Linked DNA regions of Mus musculus: region 1 is reported to be linked to region 2. Evidence: microRNA targets listed by miRTarBase, many of them from high-throughput screens and not tested one by one. Region 2 holds a microRNA gene; the other region holds the end of a gene's coding sequence.

Region 1 (4,392 bases), not on the chromosome of region 2:
ATGGCTTGCTTAAGGGGCAGTGTAATCATTTTACTTAAAAATGATGTCAGGTGGTAATTTAGCAACAAGCCCGCTTCCAGGCTATCTAATTCCATTTAACAAGGAGGAAAAACATTGTAATTAATGAAGAGCGTATACTTTTGTTCTCAAATTTTACTGTGTGTAAGCAAAGGGGGAAAGGAGCAGAGGAGAAAGCTTGTTGACAAATGTAGATTCTAAAGTCCAGTTTTGGTGAGTTCTGATCCTATGGGGTCTTGAGCTGGGCTTGGGGTTCTGCATTCAAAAGAGCAGGAGGCCTTTCTTATCATGACAATCCCACTTGCATTTAGTTAGGTTAAATATCCTACTGCCTCCTACCCCAACCCAGCCCCCAGTTGTCTAAAAACTTGGGACAATGAGAATAATCGCCACCACCTTCAGGGTAATGCTTTTCCAGAATTTCATGACATACCCTAACGTTAGGATTTTAGCTAGTGAGATTCGGGACTGGAACTTTTCTCTGCCAAAGCTTCTTTAAGAAGGGCTAGAACATCTCCCAGAGTCCTCTCTTCTACCCCCTGACCCCAGCATACCCGGGCTTCCTTCTTTCTCCACAATTAAGATCCTGGCTTTGAGCCGTGCCCACAGGAGTCTGACCTATGCCCTCCCAGGACTCCATGTCGGGGACCAAAGACTCGTCAAGACAACATCCGTGAATCTCAAGATCACTTCCCTCCTGGAATGAAGGCCTGCAGAAGCTCATTAACTCCCCTCCCCACCCCCCCCCCTTGGCACAAAACTACTTGGCAGCTACCCAAGGAATTCTAGCGTCCTGCAGAATCCAAGTTTACAAACCACCAGAACAAGGTATTACTTCAGAATGCTATTGGAATCTGGTGCTGTCTAACGAGAATGTCTCCTGGCTTATAGGGTCCCTGCTTCTCCCTCTTCAACCCCACCTTGCAGAAACCAGCTGTCTGCTGACAGAGATTAATGACAAGGTATTGCTACACCAAGGTAAGATGTCGTGGGAATCTAAACTCATCACTAGCTGCTTCCTTCTGAAGTACCTCGTGAGGCACCCAAACAAAGCACTGTTGGATATAGCTTAGGGATGTTAAGAGACATTGAATCCCTTGATAGTCTGTCTATGCAGAGATATTTGGGACATTTAAAACTCTTCATCCATCCTGAAATGAGCTACCTAACTGAGAATAACCCCTAGACTGTTAGAGAAAACTTCCCTGTGGGGGATGGGTACAGGAGGAGGGCATATCTCTTCACCTTTGAGTGACCAAGTTTGTTAGACCATTAAGTCCAGGGGCTAGTGGGCAGGCCTGGATGCTAGGTTGCTAAAGAGCATTCTGAGAAAGGTAACCTTTGACTTCCTAACCAGAAACAGGGAACTCCTGATGACTCTACACGGCTGCTGGAACGTGTCCACATGGCTTTCACCACAACTCATCCCTTGCCGAAGAGGAACCAGAGGCCAGCTTCCTGCACCTCCCAGTGTGGGAACGGGCAAGGCCCCTGGAGCCACAGGGAGCTATGGCTTTTGCTATTTACAGATATTGAAGGCAGTTTGATCTTGTAACACGCCCCGCCCCCCTTGGAAAGTCGGATACCCAGCTCCTAAGGTCTGCGTGGTAAGGCAGCCCAACACTCATTCCCTGGGCCAAGGTGGTGACTAGGTGGACCCTAACATCAGACTACCCACGTTGTGGCAAAGAGACCCTCTGGGGATAAGCGTACACATAAAGCCATAGGGTGTGGCGTATAATGACAGCAAGGAATCACTATTAATCCAATCCAAAAAGTGAGAAGGCGCCAAGTCTCACTCCTTCAGCTCAATGCCAAATCCAAGCTGTTTAAACCACTGTTTGTGCAATGGGCATTCCCTGTGAGTGCTCCGAAACCATTCATCTCCACACTGCAATCCAGTAGCACTATGTCAGCAGTATTCACACTTGTCAAATGACAAGAGAATCGGGGGCTCCCCCACCACAGCTCGCACCTACACAGCAGCCTCACGGGTTTTTTGAGAACTCAGAAATTTTGCTGTTTGCTTCAACCCCACCCCCACCCACACCCCCACCCCTTTCAGATGCTACATGGAGCAGAATGAGCAGTGCCAAACAACCACAGGATGGAAAAACCAGCAAGGATTCCATAAGCTCACAAGACTCCACACTGTTCCATGTTTTCATACAAAAAATTTAATAAATATTACTTTTCAAAATTTATTGCCAGGAACAACACATCAAAGATGTATTTTCTGTTCATATAACACTAATAGAACAAACACCAAGTATCTCCCCAGTCCCGGTGGTGAACCTGGATCACTCTGTTTTATAAGCCTTTTTTTTGATCTTGAGCTTGGTAATAGCACTTTGATTTCCTCACTTAAGGCAGGCAGTGTACTCTACGGCAAATCTAAACAGTGATCTAACTGGACATTTTACGGTTCAAGTATTCAACTAGCTTATGAGAATACTCCCTAAATGCAGTAGACAACAACAACGAAATCAAGTCTACAAGTGGTTCAGCATTACATAACGAATGGTGAAAATAAATCAGAATTTACAAAGTAAGATTGGGATGCTTCCAACTTCACACAATTAATTTGATATTTGTAATGAGATTCAACCAGTCACTTTCTGGCTACATAAGTCATATAGCTCAGTCTGTTCCCTTAAAACTGACTGCTCTGTAGCAGATCGCCTGCCTGTCTCTTTTCAAGTCTAAAGCAGGAAAGAAAGAGGAAAAAAAAAAAAAAAAGAAAGAAAGAAACCTGTTCTAGAGCAATTCTTAATCTGCCTCAGTCAGTCCTTAAAATGTGTCTTAAACTTAAAGTGATGCTATCAAGGAAGTGTTTCAACACCTGACGTCGTACAAAAAAAAAAAAAAAAAAAAAAATTCCATCAGTATTCCCAGGGGAAAAAGCCTATCCCATCCTTTCAAGAGAAACTATTTCCAAACACCTTAATTTTGGCTTACAGGCAACACGTTATGAGAAAAGTTCACAAAAAAAAGAGTCATATGCTTACAACACTATCAAAAACCTTCAATTCTAAACACATACATATAAATAAAAAGGAATGATGTTTTAAGGCTCTTGATTATTAAGTTAATAAATCAAATATACACAGTGATTAATAAAAAAAGAATTATTTACATAACTATACAAAAATTCTACTTTGACACATTTTTCCTCTTTAAATTCTTCATTTTACCAGCAACTGCTGACATCAAATCCCCCCTCCCCCAACAACAAAAATACAATAAAAAAAAATAAATAATAAAGTCATTTGTGATAGTTGCTGTGGTTCTGAGCTGCAAAGGCACTTTCAAATACAGAACTACTCGAACGTCATCATAAAACCAATATACAAAAACAACTCAAGAGTCAATAAATATAAATAAAACTATGATCCTAAGGCTGCCATCACCATTAGGACCGCTGGCAGATGTGGAAGCTCCAGGCCTAGGGCTGGGCAGCTCCTGGGAGCCCGATGTGTCTGCGGCAGGGGAATGGACACCAGGGCACATTCACTAGTTTTTGCATAGCTGTGAGAGCGCTGCACTCAATTTCCCAGCCAACCACAGAAACTACCAGTGCCAGTGGAAGCCAGCTTGTCGAAACTTAAATTAACACAGGATTCTAAGTCAACAACAGCCTCAGACTGGAATAGGACAACAGTTTAAAGAAACTACAAGCCCCGCGGTGCCCTCAAACTCTACCTATGGCGGCAGCCCACTGTCTGCTATACGATGTATTCCATCCGGTTCAAGCTCTGGGCACTTTCCAAGTCTCTGTTGTCCTGTTTATTTGTCCAGTTCGGGTGTTTTGTCGGCGTGCCGCTGGGGGCCTTCTCCTCTCTGTCTACCAGCGTATACACTGGCTGTTTGGCAAAGCGGACTTTCTGCTGGTGTTTATCCATGTCATCCTCCTCCACTTCCGAGTTGTGTGTCCTGATTTTTGACATTTTCGAGTTTTTGTTCTCGTAATCCTTAATGGGGACCGTGTTGGCTCCGTGTTTCTCGATGGGGTTTTTGATTTGGTTCAGCTGCTCCCGCACATTGTTGGTGGTGTTGTCCTCGGGGGCGGAGTGAGTGTGGCTGCTGGGCTTCCGCCGCTTCCTTACACACCAGTAGAAGGCTGTCACCAAGCAACAGACCCAAGCCACTGTTAAGACAGAGCTCAGCAGAGGAACCAGGAAATCTGGAAGACAAGCCAAGGACCAGTTAACTCAAGAAGAGCTATTGCCATAGGAACAGAATGCCAACAGTGGTCTTCCTGTATTCGGTCCCTAAGAGGGGCACTGTGGGGACAAGAACCTCTTTGAAACTTCACAGATAGGTTCACTATTGCCAGAAGCTGGTCTTTAGGACACCTGTGTTCAGTGCACCAGG
Region 2 (4,392 bases):
TTTCTCCCAGAACTTTCTTTAACGGAGCCACCGCTGATGCTCAATACAAACCTCCCAGCTTACTTAGTGACCCAGATTCTTCTAGTATTTTCTCTTTCAGTATTTCATTCAGCCAGAGGAAGTTTTCTTGCTTCCAGTCTGCCTACCTCCCCCACTCTCCTTCACCTCCAGGACAGCTGGAAACTGACCAAAGAAAACTTTTGCCTTCGTTTACAAATTCCTGTTTTATCAGCATCTTTTTAGACAACGTGCCTTATCATTTCAAAGGCCCAGGACAAGTGAGAGCCTTGTTAAAAAAAAAAAAAAAAAAAAAAAAAAAGATGGGCCAGCAGGCTCAGCTGACCAGCAAGTATCAGCCATTCTTGGATTTTAGAAGAACAATTTCAATGTTATCTAGTGAGCCCACTAAAGACAGAGCGCTATTCCCCTGGCCTGCTAAGTTGCTGAGTCAGTAAGATGTGGGTTTGGCACTTGGGCCCTCATCTCTGGCTAAGTGCGTTTGCATTGTCTGATAGTAAAATAACAAAACAAAAAAGCAAAAAACAAAAGACTAGACTGCTTCTTATCGTTAGGTACTATTATTTCTGGTGTTTCTATTATATAGATAAACAGAAAAGCTCCCTGTTCATACAAGAGTTTTGAAAATTGCATTTTTTTCCTTTAGGGCAAAATGCATTCATTCCTGGAGTGTTAGAGGTTGCATACATAGCTCATCCATGCTCGAGTTTAAGTCTCTGAATTATCAGTTTCAACCATTCAAAACTAAGTCTCGTTCAGTTTTTGCTACTTGTCTGGAGTGAGGTTTTTTTCCCCACCTTTTATTTTGAAGCGGAAGACCCTTACATTTAAGAAAGCATTTGAACGATCAACATTTAGACTTATAAAAAACACACAGAAAATCACAATTTACCATACGACCTTGCTCTTTTGAAAGTTAAGTTCACGGTTATCTGTCCCTTAGCTCAGTGTCTCCAGCGTCTTCACACAGGTGATGGGATCTCTATCTAGTTCCCCAATCACAGACCAGGTACGCAATCCCAGAGGCCTTACCCGCTGGTCTTCCCTGGAGCAGTCCTCTCCCCTGGCAGAGTCCCTGAGGGCTTCTTGGTCCCTAGTTTGCAAAACCTGTGAAGAGAAACACTGGATATGAGATTCAACAAAGGAGCACCCAGCTGTCCTCTCCTTGGAAGCAGCACATTGTGTCCCCAGCCGTCCATGGCGTTGCTGGCCCTTGCCCAGTCTAACCAATGTGCAGACTACTGTACAACGGCATTGTCCTGAACAGGTAGTCTGAACACTGGGGCGACGGAGCAGGATCTCCTGAAGCTTCCATCGGTGTGTGGAAAATCCTGTCCCGGGGCTGGGGAGAGCCTGTCTTCCTGCACCAGGGGCTTGTTCAGCTTCCCCCCTGAACCCTGTCTGCTGCATCGACTGAGACACACTAAAGGGCTGTGATTTCCAGTCTTGACGTGGCACATTTGCAGCAGACTAGGGAACTGGCAATGAATTTAGGACCAGGAAAAGGGGGAGGGCTGGGCTGGAGAGTCCATATATGGGATGATGTCACCCTGGGGAGGTTTGGGTATGCGCTGTGCCGCTGGAGAGACCGCTAGAATCGCCTGCTCTCAGACATGGGTCTGTGCATAAAATGGTACCAGATGTTTTCGTGTAATGTTAAGCAGTCATTTCATCTTCAGGCCAGATTTTTTCCCTCAACTGGGCAGGAAGTGGGGCCCCAGTATGGAAAAGCTGTAAAAAAAAAAAAAAAAGGCAAGATGTACAGTTCTGCTGTGGCCAACCGAAAGTGAGTTGAGAGTAGAAGTACAAATTTGTTGCCTGATCTGGGCTGAAGAAGTAATTTAAAGATAGAAAGATGACAAAGCAGTAAGCAGAAAGTCAAACACTGTTAAGCAGGCAAACTTCGAGGCCTTTTTTTTTTTTTTTAACTTTCCTGCGATACTTTGTTTTCTTGTATTTTACTCCTTAGTGAGGTCAGATAAGTTGGGGCTCCCCCCTTTCTTTTCCTCCTCTTCCCCCTTCTCCCTCCTCCTCCTCCTCCTCCTCCTCCTCCTCCTCCTCCTCCTCCTCCTCCTCCTCCTTTTCTGCTGGACCTGTCAGCAGCTTGCAGGCTGCTCTAGACTTGAGCAGTAATTACAGCAACTTCCTGAAAGTGAAGCCCCCATGAAAAGTCTGGAGAAATGCTCTTTGTCATGGCCTCTCCATGAGTAATTAGTTCCATATGTGGCCTTCCTCGTCTCCCTCCCTCAGCTCTCTTGGCTGGCTCTCTGCATGCCGTTCTATAGCCTTACCTAAGGAAATGTTAAAAAGTTTAGACTTCAAGCACCCACACTGCTGTACCGCTCTTTTCTGAACATTTCCCTCTGGTAGAGCCACACGGTTAAGGACAGCATTGTTTTATCCTGCTGGCTACTCCCAATTCTGTTTGAATACTTTTGTTTTGTTTACATGGTGTTCTGATGATGAGGTTTATCTCTGGTTAAGTAAATCTGTTGAAACTGGCCCAGTGAAGCTTGACCACTTACAAACTCTCAGCTCGCTTGGCCTCTAGTCCTCTGTCCCAGTTGTTAACTGTTTCAAATTATGTAGGCTGTTGAATGTTGTGAACATGAGGTCCCCTAACTTGTTTTCCACTGTATTCTGATTGATATTAGATTTTTGTCTCAAATAAGAGCTTTATCAATTGGCCTTGTAGAGGTCACAATGTGGGAGATTTTCTAAATCTAACTCACAGGATGAAGGGCTATAGTATTTTTGTAAGAATTAGAGCCCGAACAACTTATTTGTACCTGCCTTCTATGACACTTTTGAGATGTACAAATCTATATTGGCTGTTTCAAAATGCTTCAAGTGAGAGCCGCCTTAACTTATTTATTTTTTCCTAACATGGTTTCTTTTAAATTGATGTACCACAAACGGTTCAAAAGTGGTCCCAAGCCCTTGTGAAGAAGATTAAGTCAGAGTACTTTATCTAGAAGCTTATGATAGAGCAAAGAGGTTTATGTCAGGTTAAATACACCAGGTTGACACAGGATTAAATAGTTGATGCAAGCCAGGGGAATGCTTCCTATTAGTGTCTTCTTACCGGCCTCCTTCTCCTTCTTTAGGGACTATTTGAGAGTGGTTAGGGGAGCGCAGTGTGAGTCAGCTGCCGTTTCCCTCAGGGCTGCTACGTGATTACTGGAAATGATGGAAGGGTGACTAAGTGTGACCTAATGGTCTGATTGCAAGAGGATGCTGCTGGGTCCTCAGTATGTCTGTCGTACTAAGTCCTACAGAAGGCATGGGCTGGTGAGAGGTGGTTCACTTGGAATCCATCACTCCAGGTTAGGCCTGCTTCTGCTGCACATAGTGAAGGCCTTTCTTCTGCCCACTTCAGTTTCTGTCCATGGAACAGGAGTTGGCAAATGAAAAGTGGTTCTGACCAGACTGCTCTATGGTTTTGTCTCAGTTTACACAGCTAGACCCTCTCAATGGTTCTGCTTACACCAAATAAAGACTTTATACCGTTTCTGTAAGGGCCTAAATTTATGCTTTTAGTTAAGTTTTTTTTTAAGCATCATAAGGGATTTTCTTCAGAAATTCTTATAAAATCATTCACTATCTACTTTAACTTCCAGTGGACTGTTTTCTTTTGAGTTGTCCTTGCTACAGATAGCTGGGGAGGGCGGGTGCAGATCTGGTCTTGTCCACTTGTGTGCTTGCCCAGTAGGAAGGACTAGGCATAGAAAGGGAAGGAGCTTGAAGGACCACCCCCTTTCACCTTCACATATGTTAGCAATGTTAGTGCTCTCACTCAGTGAGAAAAGCCTCCACGCTATTGTAGGAAGCCCCACTTTGGGACTGGCTTGAGGACTTTTCCATGCCTGTAAAATTACCAGTCAAACACCCGAGATGTATGGGCCCAGATGGCAAAGCGAGCCATCTACACTGGTCTTCGGATGTTTTAACATCAGTTATTTAGCTTCTTTGTTTCGAAAGCCATTTGTCTGAGCCATGCCCTCACTTTGAGTGACTATGAAATTTACTCAACTTTAAAGTGTTATGGAAGCATCCTTCCTCTTGGTCATCATTCCCCAGATTGGCTAATTTTAATAACTCGAAATACTTAGATTCAAAGTTGGTGTCTCTGTACTTGGACCAGAGCAGAGTTACTAATGTTCACAATTATTTTTGTCTGTGATATCTAGATATGCAAACCTCAATGATCTATGATTTAGCTTGAAATTATTGTATTAGAGAACTTGTGTACAAGTTAACTAAGTAAATTGACCCTCCAGCTTCAAGCATGTAAGCTAAATGCTCTATCGTGTGCTCAGGCTCCAACCCAATGACAGTTAGCTCCATCACCTGAGGCTTCCTTCTTCCTCACCT

Evidence for each region. The annotated mature microRNA mmu-miR-199b-3p reads ACAGUAGUCUGCACAUUGGUUA and lies in region 2 at 1,242-1,263, opposite strand. An mRNA with a match to its seed (bases 2 to 7 or 8) in the 3' UTR can be bound and repressed. Matches are read on the target gene's strand: a 7mer-m8 pairs with bases 2 to 8, a 7mer-A1 pairs with bases 2 to 7 and ends in A, and an 8mer does both.
Region 1: the mRNA of Jag1 is a reported target of mmu-miR-199b-3p. The part of its 3' UTR that is shown has no 7-base or 8-base seed match.

What each region holds. Positions count from the first base shown.
Region 1 is chr2:137,079,281-137,083,672 of GRCm38, forward strand. Jag1 (jagged 1) reads right to left here. Exons shown (of 26, transcript NM_013822.5): 26 at 2,171-4,201. The coding sequence ends at 3,744. It also overlaps a transcript of Slx4ip not described here. Among named protein-coding and RNA genes, the nearest start is that of Jag1, 35 kb to the right of the region's middle.
Region 2 is chr1:162,214,754-162,219,145 of GRCm38, reverse strand. Mir199a-2 (microRNA 199a-2) reads right to left here and starts at 1,332; the gene lies at 1,223-1,332. The region is part of intron 14 of Dnm3 (dynamin 3); the gene reads left to right. Dnm3os (dynamin 3, opposite strand) reads right to left here and starts at 1,523. Exons shown (of 1, transcript NR_002870.2): 1 at 1-1,523.